Linked DNA regions of Arabidopsis thaliana. The protein of the gene in region 1 interacts with the protein of each later gene in a pairwise test. Each region holds a gene or a part of one and is shown in the gene's direction. Other genes may lie near its edges.

The links.
Region 2: the proteins of MGDC (region 1) and MYB74 interact in a two-hybrid assay, tested with the Arabidopsis thaliana proteins (one large-scale study listed by BioGRID).

Annotation. Positions count from the first base shown.
Region 1 is NC_003071.7:4,739,713-4,748,959, forward strand, and holds MGDC (monogalactosyldiacylglycerol synthase type C), read left to right. Parts: upstream 1-3,449; 5' UTR 3,450-3,675; coding exon 3,676-3,993; intron 3,994-4,554; exon of another isoform or gene 4,555-4,610; coding exon 4,611-4,783; intron 4,784-4,878; coding exon 4,879-5,040; intron 5,041-5,861; coding exon 5,862-6,003; intron 6,004-6,094; coding exon 6,095-6,319; intron 6,320-6,403; coding exon 6,404-6,466; coding exon of another isoform or gene 6,467-6,502; exon of another isoform or gene 6,503-6,506; coding exon of another isoform or gene 6,507-6,512; exon of another isoform or gene 6,513-6,532; coding exon 6,533-6,607; intron 6,608-6,681; coding exon 6,682-6,921; 3' UTR 6,922-7,098; downstream 7,099-9,247. UniProt on the Arabidopsis thaliana protein: Involved in the synthesis of monogalactosyldiacylglycerol, the major structural component of photosynthetic membranes and in the chloroplast envelope biogenesis.
Region 2 is NC_003075.7:2,614,415-2,621,637, forward strand, and holds MYB74 (myb domain protein 74), read left to right. Parts: upstream 1-3,957; 5' UTR 3,958-4,142; coding exon 4,143-4,278; intron 4,279-4,370; coding exon 4,371-4,500; intron 4,501-4,667; coding exon 4,668-5,376; 3' UTR 5,377-5,533; downstream 5,534-7,223. Other genes in the region: AT4G05097 (uncharacterized protein), read left to right, coding at 8-149. UniProt on the Arabidopsis thaliana protein: Probable transcription factor that may function in salt stress response.

The DNA of each region.
Region 1 (9,247 bases):
TGATTCGGGGCGGTTTACTATTATAGATTCACGGAAACGTGATTCATGCCACAAACCATTCTTGAGGGCGGATTGAGCTGCCGAATCAGATAGGTTGGGTACTTGGACCATGATCTCTTTAAAGGCAGTAATATAGGTCCAAAGTGGATCGTCTGCTCCTTGAGAGAGATTCCAAAGCTGAGCCTCAGTGACGTCGCTTTTGATGAAGTACCCGTACTGCTTAATGAAAGCAGTGGAGAGTTGCTTAAAATTGTCGATCGAACCCTCTTCTAACTGAGTGAACCAGGTGAGAGCGGGACCTGACAAACTTTCCGAGAATAGCTTGCAGAGCCCTGCATCTTCTTCGTGTGGCTCAAGAGGGACCCGACCTGCGATGACCTGGAAAGAAGTTAGATATTCTTTTGGATCTCCCTTGCCGTTGTAACCGGGAAGTTTGAAGTCTCGGAAATCGCGAATACGAAGCTTCGAGATTCTCGAAGTGAAAGGCGTTCTCCTTGTTGCTTCAATAACTTTTTCCACTTCGGGGGCCGACGTGGTAGCCTGATGAACTTTTGCGTTCATTGCCCAGATTTGATCTTGAAGGTTCTGGAGCTCCGAGTTGACTGTGTTTGGCTCTTGTCGGGGATTAGAAATCGGGAGTCTGATGGCGGGATCCAGTGGAGCCGGCGTCCGAGCTATTGTCCCATCTGAGACTGCGGCAAGGCCTGCTGGTGAAGATTGTATGACTGGATTCTGTGTCGACGTTGCCCCGACGTCAACTGGAGGTGAAGGAGATTGCTGGCCAGAAGCTTCCTGCGAATTCTGGACGCTTGGGCTTGCGACACCCTGAAAGTTGAGTCGCGTTCGAGCTCCAGTAGTCCGCGCCGTTCCTGCAGAAAGAGAATCAACCCGCTCGGCGTATGCATTGTGCGCTGATCTGATCTCGGAATGGTTTGCTGCTAAAGCTGCGAGCTGGCCATTGCAATGTTCTTAGAAAAACACGAACTTATCGGAGAGTGTCGTTACTGCGAGCTGTTGCCGGTCGGTTTTCTCTGACAACTGCTGAAGCAGCTGCTTGATGTCGTCGAGGGTGGAGGTTTAGTCGCCGGAACTCTGACCGTCGGTGTTGCTCATGGTGAATTGATCGTTGCTCTGAAGTTAAAGACTTAACTTACCCTCCTTCTAGCGCCAAATTGTGGATGCCAGAATCCGCAATTAGAATTTTGTGGTTGTTTTTGTGAGGATCTTAAGTCTTGTCGGTCGAACAATGATCAAATGATAAACGGATTTGTGTATTTCAGTATAGTTTCAGTATAGTTTCAGTACAAGGTGTTTTCGTCCCCTTTACAAATGACAATTGACTCTTATTTATACTAATACAACGAATCAAATGACTTAAATGATTAGCTGGTTTCACGCCGCAGACCTCGCCCCTATTAACTTCGTACGTTGCGGATCAACAGCTCGGGCCTTTGAATGCTTATCATTCAAGTCGATATCCAGCCGTTACTAAATTAATTCCGTATCAACTTTTTGAACCACTGGGCTTTCATTGGGCTCTAAGGCCGGGCCCAATCCTTGTCTGGAAGCCCACAAATTGCGGGTCGAGTCGAGCACAAGATCCGACATCCACAAACCATTACTTTTTGCTGGTCTCGGGTTTTGAGCCGGGATCCACAAATCCTCCCAAACGGAGATGGAAGCCCCTGAACCGACTTTTTTAATAAGTCCTTTACAAACCAGAGATCTAACTGAACAAATACTTCTCCAGCCATAAGACGGAGAGTATGATTTTATATTTTCCAGAGGATTGGATTTCCTAAAATATCTTCGTTTAAAAACCTTGGCAAAGAGAGAGTCCGGAAACGAAACTAGACGCCATAACTGTTTCGCTAATAATGCAGAGTTTAAATCATCTACATCCCGAAAACCTTAGTCACTTCCCAATTTACTAGTACACAGTTTGTTCCAAGTCATCCAGTGTATACCTCTAGATTCACCATTCGAGCTCCACCAAAATCCTGCGACCGCACTTGTTAGTTTGGAAGTAATTGTTTTCGGGAGCCTAAAGCAATACATCACATAAGTTGGTAATGTTGCGGCTACTGATTTAATCATCACTTTTTTCCCTCCTTTTGATAGGAATTTAGTTGACCACCCATTTATTCGACTGTAATCGATCTTTAACAACGGAAAAGATCTTTGTCTTAGATCCCCCTAAACTCTCAGGTAGTCCGAGATAGGAACCCATGCCTCCGATATTATGTATACCCAAGATCGATTTTATTTCTGCCTTTATAGCTTCATCTACTTTATGCCCGAACTGAATCGATGATTTTACAAAATTTATCATATGTCCTGATACCGCTTCATATTGTTTTAGAATACCCAATAGTTAATAGACTTATTATACCCACATTAGTCTTAATTTCTTTGAATGTCACTATATTTATTTTTTAAATTTATATTTGTAATTATGTTTATCGCACATAAATTTTTCATATAGTATTAAGTTTTCTTGATTTTACTACTTCTAAAAAAATAAAATGAGATTTTCAAATTATATTATACCAAATAAATTAAATTGTGAAAATTGAACCACAGATTTAAAACATAATGTACAACTATTTCATATAAAACAACATTCTTTTCTTTAGGATAGTTACAGTAATATACCAAAAATCAAATTTAAAATAAATTAAAATTTTAATAATGTTCTGTAATAAAGAGAAAAATATATAATAAAACACGTACTAATGCATCATAAAATACACATTTTATGTACTAATAAGTATAATAAACATGTTATCTTAACTAAACATAACCAAGTAAAAAAAACATACTACTATATCAATAAAAGTAAATACATATACCAAGTAAGTTGAAAAAATAAAACTATTGCTCAGTTATTTATATATAGATTATATTAAATTGAAACAACAATTAACTTTCTAACGCAAATAATCAACTCGCTGTGTACCGCGGGTCAATATCTAATGATGTCATAATTCTCGTAGACAAATAGACAATTTTTCCATATGAGTACATTTGATGCAAAAGTAGACATTTGAACTGAAACCTATTTTTGTTTACAAACATTCATATCAACAACTAAACAAAAATCGAAACTAACTTGAATCAATTAATCAAGTATTAAATTAATATGAAAAGTGGACTCAAATTTAACTGAATCGATTTAAACCTAATCAAACCAGATAATTTTTGATTCTAAACCGGTTTACCTATGTCACAAAAAGGACCATCCATGTCATATTTTTTTTTTAATTTTTAAAAAGTCAAGTTGTTTTAAATATACTTGAGATGCAAAGAAAGATCCGAATCATATATCCGAAGATTCCGAAACCAAAGGCGGATCCGACGGCTCCAAGCTGCCATATTCCCTTGTTACTCTACCACTAAATTAAGCCCCACATAAAACAATAAAGACACGAAATATAAATACCTAAGCAAAACTATAGGAACCGAAAAAAAAAAAAAAGAATAATTCCAGCATCATTCCTCAAGTAATTTAAAAACAATTATTAAAAGAAGCAACTTGGTCTTCCATTTTTTTTGCTACAAAAAATTTAAAACCCCAAAAGAACTTAAAATCTTTTACATAAAGATCACCAACCAGCCACATAGAAAACACAACCATCGGTCTTCTTATTATTCTTTCTTCAACACCAAATAGTCATGATGAAAGTGGTGTCACCTCGTACACGGTCGGATTCAATCACTGAGAAGGTGTTTCGACGAGTCTATAGCAATTTTAACATCTCAACAGTAGAAGATGAGTATATCCATCGTCAGAGATCAAGTGATTATGAGAAGGAGAGTCGTCTAAGGAAGAGAGGGTTAGAAGACAAAGAAGAAGTTATGGAGATGGAGCAGATGGGAGCAGAGAGGATCAAAACTGTTCTTATTCTCATGAGTGATACCGGCGGTGGCCACCGTGCTTCAGCCGAGGCCATCCGCGACGCTTTCAAGATCGAATTCGGAGATGACTATCGGGTAAAAATATTAATATTTTTATTTATATCTTCATTTTCATTCTCTTTGCCTTGAATCCAACGCATAGGGTTGAGCCAATAATATGCTTCCTTAACCATATATATAACGTACAAAAAAACGAAAAAATATTGCATAAGCAACAAAACTTAATCATACTTTTATCTTTTAGTTTCTGTGTAAAACAACAACAATATTTTGAAATATTCATTTTGAAAATTTCAAAGCTTGTAAATATATACCTCGAATAATATGTATTTATATTATGACAAAATTTTCCAATAGATTATGTTATAATATATCATAGAGGAGTTTCTGATTCTAATGAAATCTCAGCCGTCAATATTAAAGTTGTCGCAGTAGTCGTCTTGAATTTGAAAACGAAAAGAAACAAATATCTACTTGGAAGTTTTGTAGCCTAGTATGAATCTTGGAGTTTGCCAGGGTGTCGGAGATACGAGCTGACGTCAACAATCTATGTCTTAAAACCTGTCCCACGTTCCATTTATTTTGTTTGTCAATAATGATTAAAAATTTGCATTATTTATTTCTCTAGCTCTGACTCTTTGATGTTACAATATTCTCTCTAGGAACTAATGTCATTTTTTTTATAACTATAGATAATCATAAAAGATGTTTGGAAAGAATACACTGGATGGCCATTGAACGACATGGAGAGACAGTACAAGTTCATGGTGAAACATGTTGGTCTTTGGTCTGTTGCGTTTCATGGTACTTCTCCCAAATGGATCCACAAAAGCTATCTAAGTGCTCTTGCCGCTTATTATGCCAAGTACTTATATGTTAACCTTCTTCTTTTTTCGTTATCATCCCTTAGTGTTACGAATTAGCAATATAATGGAGATTATTTCTTCTTTTGGTGAACAGAGAAATAGAGGCCGGTTTAATGGAGTACAAACCGGACATTATTATTAGCGTGCATCCTCTGATGCAACACATACCATTGTGGGTAATGAAATGGCAAGGACTTCACAAGAAAGTTATTTTCGTTACGGTCATCACTGATCTAAACACTTGCCACCGTACATGGTAAGATGACATTACTTCTATATATACTAAGTACTTAAAATCAGTTTAATCCACGCGTTAGCATATTAATCCTGCATGTTTACTCTCATGACTTTTCATTTAATAAAATATAGATTATATGCAATAATATTTAAAATTAACCAGTGTTTTCACGTCCGACCCAAACCGTTCGGTTCGAACGGTTAATCAGCAACCCAAACACTTTTTCGGTTTAGGTTTAGTACTATAGCCAACAATTTTAAACCCGGAAAAATCCACAAAAAATCGCCATTAACCCGCGACCCAGTGAACCGGTTGAACTGGCCGTGTGTGAGTTTTAAAAAATATATTCGATTTTTGAATAAAATATAGCATTTTAGACTCTATTCAGCTATTTTTAGAAAAAAAATTCACTTTTTAAACTCATTTGATTTTTTTATATTTTGGTGAAGTCTTCACAATTCCGCCTAAAGTGACTGAAACCGAGATTAGTTGTTTTAATTCGCAATGTTTATTAATTTATTTTCGTCATTAATGATCTCCTACTATATTTGTTACGGTTTTAGTCTTTTAGACTTTTAGTTAAATTGAAAACTTTGATTGTTACTGTTTGATTTCATATTTTGTTAAACATAAGATAATTATTTTTGTTTTATTTTATATAATCTCTATTAATATTAAATATATTCAATAAATTTTATTCAATTGACCTGTGGTCTAATTCGGTTAACCCCATTAATCGGTGATCCAGAAGAAAATCCGGTTCACTGTCCGGGTCAGGGTTTAAAACATTGAAATTAACCTAATAGCTCAAAATGAAATCTTCGATTTTGATGTAATAGGTTCCATCATGGAGTCAGCAGATGTTATTGTCCGTCCAAAGAGGTTGCAAAGAGAGCATTAGTAGACGGCCTTGATGACTCTCAAATCCGTGTCTTTGGCTTACCTGTCCGCCCATCTTTCCCTCGCACTATTCTCAACAAGGTAAATTCTGTCCAATTCATACCATTTAGAGATCTTTTTTTTCCCAATCAAGAGAAGATCAACAATAGCTATTATTATGTGTGTTTGTTAGAATGAACTAAGGAAGGAACTTGAAATAGACTTAAATTTACCTGCGGTTCTATTAATGGGAGGGGGTGAAGGAATGGGTCCGGTTCAAAAAACAGCTCTAGCCCTTGGAGATTCTTTATACAACTCTAAAGAAAGTAATCCAATAGGACAATTGATTGTCATATGCGGCCGGAACAAAGTCCTTGCTTCTACATTAGCATCTCATGAATGGAAGATTCCGGTCAAGGTACAAACTAAAATATAATTTTTTTTTTACTTCTACTATATACTTATATACCAAGTAACTAATATATACTTGTGACGTTTATAGGTTCGAGGGTTTGAAACACAAATGGAAAAATGGATGGGAGCTTGTGATTGTATCATCACTAAGGTAAGTCATATCTTTGAATCCTACCCATTCATATAAATAGCACTAAGATTTTATGACATAAAACAGGCTGGTCCGGGTACGATTGCGGAAGCACTGATTTGCGGCCTCCCAATTATCCTCAATGACTATATTCCTGGACAGGTATACATTTTTTTGCTTCACCTTAGGGATTAATCGGCCACATAAACTAACTCTATTGTATGTGACTCCCAAAGGAAAAAGGCAACGTGCCGTATGTTGTGGACAATGGGGCTGGAGTTTTCACCCGAAGTCCCAAAGAAACTGCGAAAATCGTGGCGGATTGGTTTAGCAACAATAAAGAGGAATTAAAGAAAATGTCAGAGAATGCTCTAAAGTTGTCGCAACCTGAAGCCGTGTTCGACATTGTGAAGGATATCCATCATCTATCCCAACAACAACAACGTATTCCACTTTTTAATGAATTTTCCTATTGAAGTGTTGTTTGTTTAGACTATAGGTTTCTCTTATTTCATGATTCTTATTAATGTATATTCTCTAGTGGTTTGTCATTCTTTTATCAGTCTTTTTCAACATTTATTTATGTATTTTATTATATAAAATATGGTTTTCAATGTTAGTAACTCATATGATTGTAACACGTGTCAACTTCATCGATCTCAGATTTTGACATATATAAATAAAAAAAATTTGTTTTATTAAATTTAAAAAACAAAAAGATAATTGTAAATTATAAATTTAAACAGTTTTCAAAATGTAAGAAGATAATTACAAGGAAACTAACTTATTATATAAAGTACGGTTTTCAAAGTTAGTAATTGATTATGCTATGTGCAAATTTTATCGATCTCAGATTTTAACACGTGTAAAACAAAATTTTCTTTTATTAAGTTTAAGACTATAAAAAGACAATTGTAAGAAATTATATATTTTAAAATAAGTATAAGGAAACTAAAACATTTTAGAGAAGTAAATATGATAAGTTTTAAAAAAATATATGTATCTTATTAAATTAAAAATAGAAATTAAAAAATCATTTACTAATTCTAATTGAAGCTACTAATTCTTAATCAAAATTGATTACTTTTTCCTACAAAATTTAAAAAGGATTTAAGAAATTATACAATCTTGTTATATAAAATACCATAATTATGGAAACTACAATCAATTATTAATCCTAAAAGAAAAACGATTCAAAATACTCATATCTATAAAAATAATAGGTAGTCTCCTACTTTTTCACCAAACCAAAATACTCTTCAAAAAGACCACAGTTGATTTAACGTCATACTAATGGTAAAGATTTTTTGTTAGTTTGTGGATTTTTATTTTAGTAATTTGTTAACTCATTTATTATTAACTAAGATATAATGTTTTTTTCTTTTTGTTAACTCTGATACAATATGATATAACTAGTGATGTTAATATGGGTATGCAAACCTCATTTAATTAATGGGTTTGTGTAAGAGAAATTGACCCATTTAAACTCATTTAGAAAAAAATTAAATAGGATTAAATGAGTTAACCCAACTAAACCCATTTATTAAATGGGGTTTCACACAAATAAATGGGTACCCAATTAAGTCCATTTACTTTTTCATTTTATATTAGTAAACCTTATTAAAAATGTTAATGTGTTAATACATTAAAACTAAATTATTCTACTTAACTTCACTTTTTGGTTTAAATATTCAAATCACGTTTTCTCGTCAAAATCATAAACCGACGTTTTTCCCCCAAAATCACAAAAGTTGTTTTCATACTAAAATCACAAAAAGTGTTTTCCACCAAAATTGAAAATCATGTTTTCCCGCCGAAACCGTAAACCGACGTTTTCCCACCAAAACCGTAACCACATTTTCCCGCCAAAATCACAAAAATTGTTTTCCCGCCAAAATCACAAAAATTGTTTTCCTGCCGAAATCACAAAAAGTGTTTTCCACCAAAATTGAAAATCATGTTTTCCCGCCAAAACCGTAAACCTATGTTTTCCCGCCAAAACCGTAAACCAGCGATTTCTCGTCAAAACCGGAAAACCTACGTTTTCTTGCCAAAACCTGAAAATCGACGTTTTCTCCCCAAAACCGTAAACCGACGTTTTCTCCCCAAAACCGTAAACCGACGTTTTCTCCCCAAAACCGTAAACCGACGTTTTTCCGCCAAAACCGTAAATCAAAATCATATAACACTATTTTGATATAATATTTTTAGCATTTATTCATTAAGATGAAGTCCGTAGAATCAAAATCCAGTTTATAATGATTAAATAGATAGTTAAATTGTATTGCAAATGGAATGTGTAAGATTGGAAATTTTTTTAAATTAAAATAATAAATTAAAAATGAAAAAGAGAGCAAGATACTATTTTGAATTCAAAAATCATCGATAAGATGTAGTTTGTAGAATTAAAATGCAGTTTATTAATATGAAATAAATAGTTAAAGTGTATAGAAAAATATGGGATGTGTAAGTCTGAAATTTGGTTTGAAATTTTTTAAAATTAAATGTTAATAAAAATATTTATTACTATTTAGAATTCAAATATTAATGATACAAAATTATATTTATTTCTTACATCCGCCTTTTTAGGCGGGTCTTATCTAGTACATATATATCTTACATAAATAATTTTAAAAGGAAAAAATGACTTCATAGGAATAAATTTTCTTTTACTTGATGAAAAGATTTTTTTTTTAAACCTAAATATTTTCCTATTTATTTATCTTAGTTTTAGTTTTCAAAATCGAAAATACTACTATTCAAGGCTTTGTACATCATTCTATAATTGAAAAGTTTGGAGGT
Region 2 (7,223 bases), on another chromosome or scaffold:
TAGGCAGGGCGTGCTTTGATCAAGGAGATGATGGGATTACGACTTCTAGAACCCATAACCCTCCACCTATCACCAGAAATTGCGTCTCTTACCACCGCCTTTTTTGGCAGACCTATCACCTGAAGACCCAAAGGACTCGTGAGATTTAAAAGAGAACCCAAACCAGTCTAATTATCGTACCAGAAACTAGCCGTAATAGCCAAACCCACTTCACACACCAAAAAAAGTCTCGCCAGACTACGAAGCTTACTCAACCGCTTCCAAATCCAACTCCCAGAGTTGTACGGATTCAAATCCAACTACCAGAGCTAAATTCTATTTCGTTATTTTAATATCATTAACACACCTCTATTATGAAACCTCCAAGAATAGAAACCACTAAGTTTAATAATTCAAATATTCTATATAGATATAGCTACTTTACTATGTGGCACATCAACTCCACAACTATTAATTCCGATATCGTATCGCACTCGCATATGTATTGTAATTTTCTATACATAAATAAATGTTATATACATAATTACGTATGTGTGTGTGGACTCTTGGTCTTTGTCTTTCAACTATTTAGAATTCAAATGGCTCGTTTCTGACGTATCAAAATCTGGAATAATGCGACGATAATCTCTACGTACGTGACTCGATTTATTTTAACATACATACTAATCAATCATATTTTATATTAAGAAAAATTAGGCAAGTATCGTGTATATATATATATATAGTATGTGGCTACATACTATTATTGCCCACATACAGTAAAACCTCTATAAATTAATACTCGATAAATTAATAACCTCTATAAATTAATAAATTCTTCCGGTCCCGAGTTGGGACCACTATAAAAATTGATACAAATCGATAAATTAATAAGATAATAATTATTTTGAAAATTTTATGTAAATATATGGTCCCATCAATATTATAAATTAATAATTGTATAAATTTATGAATATATATATATATATATATATTTATATTTATGAATATATATTATGTAAAACTTAGTAAAATATGACTTTAGTATTGTTTTTCTTCAATTTATATTAATTCTTTGTAAAATTCAATTCTAATAATTTTACTACGTATAAAAAAGATTTTTTTTTTAAACCTAATAATGGTTTTATACTTGTAATTGATTTTTAGAAAAATTATTGATTGTAGAGAGGAACTACCTTTTGGATTAAATTTTTGTAAAAAATTACAAATTTTTTAAAATCTCTCCATAAATTAATAATTATTAATTTATCGATAAATTAATACCTCTCTAAATTAATAAATTTTTGTACTATTATTACCTAGAAAGTGAAAATTGACCTACAAATATATCTTCAATTTGATTCACATATACGAAGTCACGTATGTTTCTATAAATTTAGATCCAAAATGTGTGAAAACCCATCTGTTTTTGCAAATTCTTGCAATTGCAATTGCACATGTTTCTATTACGTTTAAATCAATCGAGCTCTAAGTGATTTATCCATAGTGATATACAGATCCAATATCCATGAAACATATTTAATTCATGAAAAGGCTCAAACATTATCAACAAATAAGATATGGTCAACTATGTAGTAACTAGTAACACGTAGGCTGCTGCTCTTTGTGGCAAATTCATGCGCAAGCAAAGCCTCTAGATGTTTGACAAGTTACTACCCTAATATAGCATCACTAGCTATCTTCTAATTTTTTTTTTTAGTTATTTTAATCCTGTATTCTTTTATTTATTTATTTGATAAAGTGATGAAATTTTATTCTCCTTTTTCTTATCAACTAATATACTTATTCATTCACATAATTTCGCACTTTGCGGAGTTTTCATTTGTCGTTAAACCCGACAGATTCTTGAACCGCAAGGAACGAGACATTAACCTAATGTACTTATATTTAACTATAGTATTATAATAGCATAAATGTGACAATGATTCGATCACTACTAATATATTAATCACCAATCTATATCGTCGTCCTTCCTGATTATTTGAAGATTTTGTCTATAAACTAGCTGCTTTTGTTTATGTATTTTTATTACTTGGATGCTTTTGTTTGTTGGAATATTCGAATGAATTTTTGTTTGCCTGAAACTATGCATATATAATAAGGCCATATGCGCCAATAATATAGAATCCAAATATTCATTAACTATAATTAGTTTGTTCTAGAGTTTTAGCTACTCATATATTCAAATTCTTAGGAGATCAAAAAAGTACTTAATTAGTTAATAAAATCCATTTTTATTAGTTGTAATTAAATGTAAAGTGTCGAAACACGAAAGGGAAGATGAGTTGCACAACTCGTGGTTCCTATAAGAGTGATAATCTATCTGACGTCACGCCATGCAAAATGTATCAATCAATTTTCTTCTCACATTTATATTTACTTCAAAATGATTATAAAGCCACCCAATGAATAATAAGATATATATATATATATATATAACTCAAAATCAAAAATTTCAAATGGAATTTGGAAGCATCACAAATTCACAATCATGTATTCAAAATCTCACGTAGAAAAAGCTAATAAGTCCAAAAGATTGGTCTTCATTTTTTTCTTGAGAAAGTTTGATGGGATAGAGAGAGAGACAGAGAGGAACAGCTAAATTTGCTGTGTATGTATTTAATACTTGAACATTTATTTATCTATTTTCTTATACATCAAACTCACGAATTTATAGGTTGGTAATGTCGTTTTTATAACATTAATAAAAATTGCAATTGTAGTTTTTATTGAAATTTACCCAAAAAAAACTATTATACGAAAATATGTTATTTATTTAAAATTTGATATTAGATGAATCCAGAATCTTTTATAAAACTTGGTGTGTGTGAACCTGCGTTAATTTGTTAAATACTTTTCACGTAAAAATCAAAATTAATTTTAAAAGTTATGTTACCAAACAGTATTCTGATAGTTTTACAAATTTTATCCATTGTATATGTTTTGTTTTTGCAAAAAAGTCCAAAGGAAAAAACAAAGCAGAAGGGTTGAATTGTGAGGAAAGAGAGAGTACGTGGCATCATAACTTTGGCGACAGCTAATGTGAAAACAGCCAAAAGCTACGGAGAGCGACACTCCTCGACGACGTCCATGTCTCTTTAGATTGTGATTGCATTGTTAATTATCATATTTATCAATTGATTAGTTAAGTCTTAAGTATCATCACACAAGTTTATACATTAATCTATACAGTGTTTAACACTACAAAACTCCCCAAAATCACGTGTTTCATATCATACGTACATTTGTCTACCGTCTTTATTAACAATATTAAAACAGAATTTATCAATTTTCTAGTTGAATAGACTATATACTATTATAGAGACTCTTATAAATTATGAAACTCCTAATCAATTAAAAATAGTTAATTTGAAACATATCACTCGAAACTAGGGTATTAGTTGGATTGACGATATTTTTCTTATTAATATCAACGAGAAGAATCAAGTGTCGTTAGCTCAATTGGTAAAAAATTTAGGCAAAGCTTAGAGATGTCTATTTGAGTGACGCTTGGAACAAAAATTACATGCTATGGTTTCAGGCCTAGAGAAATGCTTCGATCCAGAATCTCTTGATATTCAAAAAAAAAAAAAAAATCAACAAGAAGAATGTATAAATGGTTTCTATACTATCTAAGTTATGAAAAATATTTTTGGTTACCCAAATTACAAGATTTGTACCGAAGTGTCACACTAGATTCACATGCATGCATAGTTATAATTAACTTAAAACATAAATGACTTACAAAAATACTTACAAACAAAAACCAAATTAAGTTATTTAGTGGCCAGCTTTGTTACTAGAGTTTTAGCCATTATCATAATTCACAATAAGGTGTAGGAAAAAACATTAATATATAGTATGTATACATCCAAAAAAAACTTTTTGGAAAAAACAAATTTTGGGATTATAAAGGACACGTAGCCCAATCGATGAACAGAGGACGGCACCGAATCAATTTGACTTCACCTTTTTTCCCCATATGATAAGAGTCTCATCTCTTTCCTATATATATTTCGTACCTCTCTTTAAGGACCCTACGTCTCTCTCTTTCTCTCTACTCTCTGTTTCCTCATAATTCAATCACTATATTTTTTTAAAAACATTTGACTTCATCGATCGGTTAACAATTAATCAAAAAGATGGGACGATCACCATGTTGTGAGAAGAAGAATGGTCTCAAGAAAGGACCATGGACTCCTGAGGAGGATCAAAAGCTCATTGATTATATCAATATACATGGTTATGGAAATTGGAGAACTCTTCCCAAGAATGCTGGTTAGTATACGTATCTTCATTATTACATTTTAATCATACTTTTTTTATTCGTGAATTGTCTTTTTAAAGTTTTGCTTGAATCTTGACTATAGGGTTACAAAGATGTGGTAAGAGTTGTCGTCTCCGGTGGACCAACTATCTCCGACCAGATATTAAGCGTGGAAGATTCTCTTTTGAAGAAGAAGAAACCATTATTCAACTTCACAGCATCATGGGAAACAAGTGAGTTTGAACTTTTCAATAATTTTATATTTTTGCCATTACGTAGTTTATACGAAAACTACTAATCTTGTAGATTAGTCTTAGAGTCATAGCTTTGAATGATGTTACTAGTGATTTATGTTAAATCTACAATGCATCAGATTCTAACTTTGTTTGCTTTCGTATAGGTGGTCTGCGATTGCGGCTCGTTTGCCTGGAAGAACAGACAACGAGATCAAAAACTATTGGAACACTCACATCAGAAAAAGACTTCTAAAGATGGGAATCGACCCGGTTACACACACTCCACGTCTTGATCTTCTCGATATCTCCTCCATTCTCAGCTCATCTATCTACAACTCTTCGCATCATCATCATCATCATCATCAACAACATATGAACATGTCGAGGCTCATGATGAGTGATGGTAATCATCAACCATTGGTTAACCCCGAGATACTCAAACTCGCAACCTCTCTCTTTTCAAACCAAAACCACCCCAACAACACACACGAGAACAACACGGTTAACCAAACCGAAGTAAACCAATACCAAACCGGTTACAACATGCCTGGTAATGAAGAATTACAATCTTGGTTCCCTATCATGGATCAATTCACGAATTTCCAAGACCTCATGCCAATGAAGACGACGGTCCAAAATTCATTGTCATACGATGATGATTGTTCGAAGTCCAATTTTGTATTAGAACCTTATTACTCCGACTTTGCTTCAGTCTTGACCACACCTTCTTCAAGCCCGACTCCGTTAAACTCAAGTTCCTCAACTTACATCAATAGTAGCACTTGCAGCACCGAGGATGAAAAAGAGAGTTATTACAGTGATAATATCACTAATTATTCGTTTGATGTTAATGGTTTTCTCCAATTCCAATAAACAAAACGCCATTGGAATAGAGTTATGTAAACATGCAATCATTGTATTTGTTATATAGATTTTGTTACATATCCAAAATCCAAAATACTATAGTTTTAAAATATTTATTACTAAAGTATATTCGTCAAGGGGAAAGCAACATCCCACCAGTAAACAATATAAAGCTCAGCTCATAACATTGTTTTAATGATGGAGTTTCTATTATTGGTATCTATCTACTCTTTTGTTTAATATTTGTGGTCGGCTTTTCTTCTACATAAATGCATGGAGATCGTATCAACGATCATATTAAAATATGATTCGAAGATATATACTATAATTGATATCATACATGGTGCTGAAATGTTATCGAAATAGAAAGGTAGATAAATAATTGATAGTGAATAATTATATCATTGACTTATTATCTCTTGTTTCTCTGAAGAAATAAACTAATGATAATTTATGAACCAAAACAATACTAATAACAAATGTTTTGAAATGGAAGTGGGCCATTAAGTCAATCAAAAATTTGCACAATTTCACTAGAACCAATCAAAATGCACGAAAAACTTTCTATTTTGACCACCAGAGAAGTCTTACGAATTTACTAACCGGAATCCGGCGAGACTGGCCGGAGCGTGAACTAGAAGTACACGTGGTATGGTAGCGTACGTGTGCAATTGGGGTCAGATCACGGGACACAATCTAATGACCAGACGCCACTTGTACGACACGAAAGCAATAAGTGGAAAACGTAAGGAAAAAGTTGAAAGAAAAAGCTCGTTTTAATTGAAATCACGGTTTGTGTTAATTAATCACCTTTAACACGTGTTGTACGGAGAGCCAACTGAGAGTGGGGACGCGTGGGGACAAAGCAGCATGTGTAAACACGAACGTCGGCATTTTTTGGGATGAGCTGTTTGTTTTGACCCCTTGTTCGGTTTTTCCAGTGGATCTTTTATTACGTATAGAGTCAACATTTTTTATAAGAATAAATTATTGTGGTAATTAAATAAACCTTGTTTTTTTCATTAAATAAAAACTTGTTTAGTAAGAGAAATTTCATATTATTTTCTTTGGTTTTAATGCTAAGAGTCTTAACGAAATTAAACAATTACATATCTTGCCAATTTTGAATGCTTAATTTGCAACTAGAATAAATTGTATATATCTAGTTTTACTTTTTTTTTTCTTTACTTTTTTTTGGTAAAATATATAGTTTTATTTTTGAATTGACGGAAACGTAAGTGGGTTAGTTGAGTTGTTTCTTTTTTATATATACGTAATTAGATATAAACGTGCGGTATACCGTAGATACTCTTATATTTTAGTTAAACTAAAATTTTTTATTGTAAAAGTGATTTATAAATATATAATATTATTTTATGGATTTTAAATGTATAGTAAACTGCTAGTTGTATATTTTTGTTGATATTATTTATATTGTTCAGTATTTAAGATTATACACTTGTATTTAATTGTTAATTTTAGAGTTTCACCTATAATTACCATCTTGTATTAATATTGATTTAAACCCGTCAATTCTAAGATTTTCAAGCTTGTATTAAAAATTGAATCACATCATACACATAAAAAAATCTAATATGTTATTAATTATTATAGTATATAAGATTATAAATTTTCAAAATAATATGTATGAAATTGAATATAAATATTTAAATTATAACCCGTTACTTAGTAGAAAGTTTTCTAAAATCTATTTTTGACCTGTTATAATATTTTTTCATGTATTGAACAGTTTATATTCGTTTTTAAAAATATAAATCATGGCACATGCGAAAAGCTAATTATTCTTTTATAACAATAATATTATTTTTTCGCAAAAATAGAATCATATAAAGATG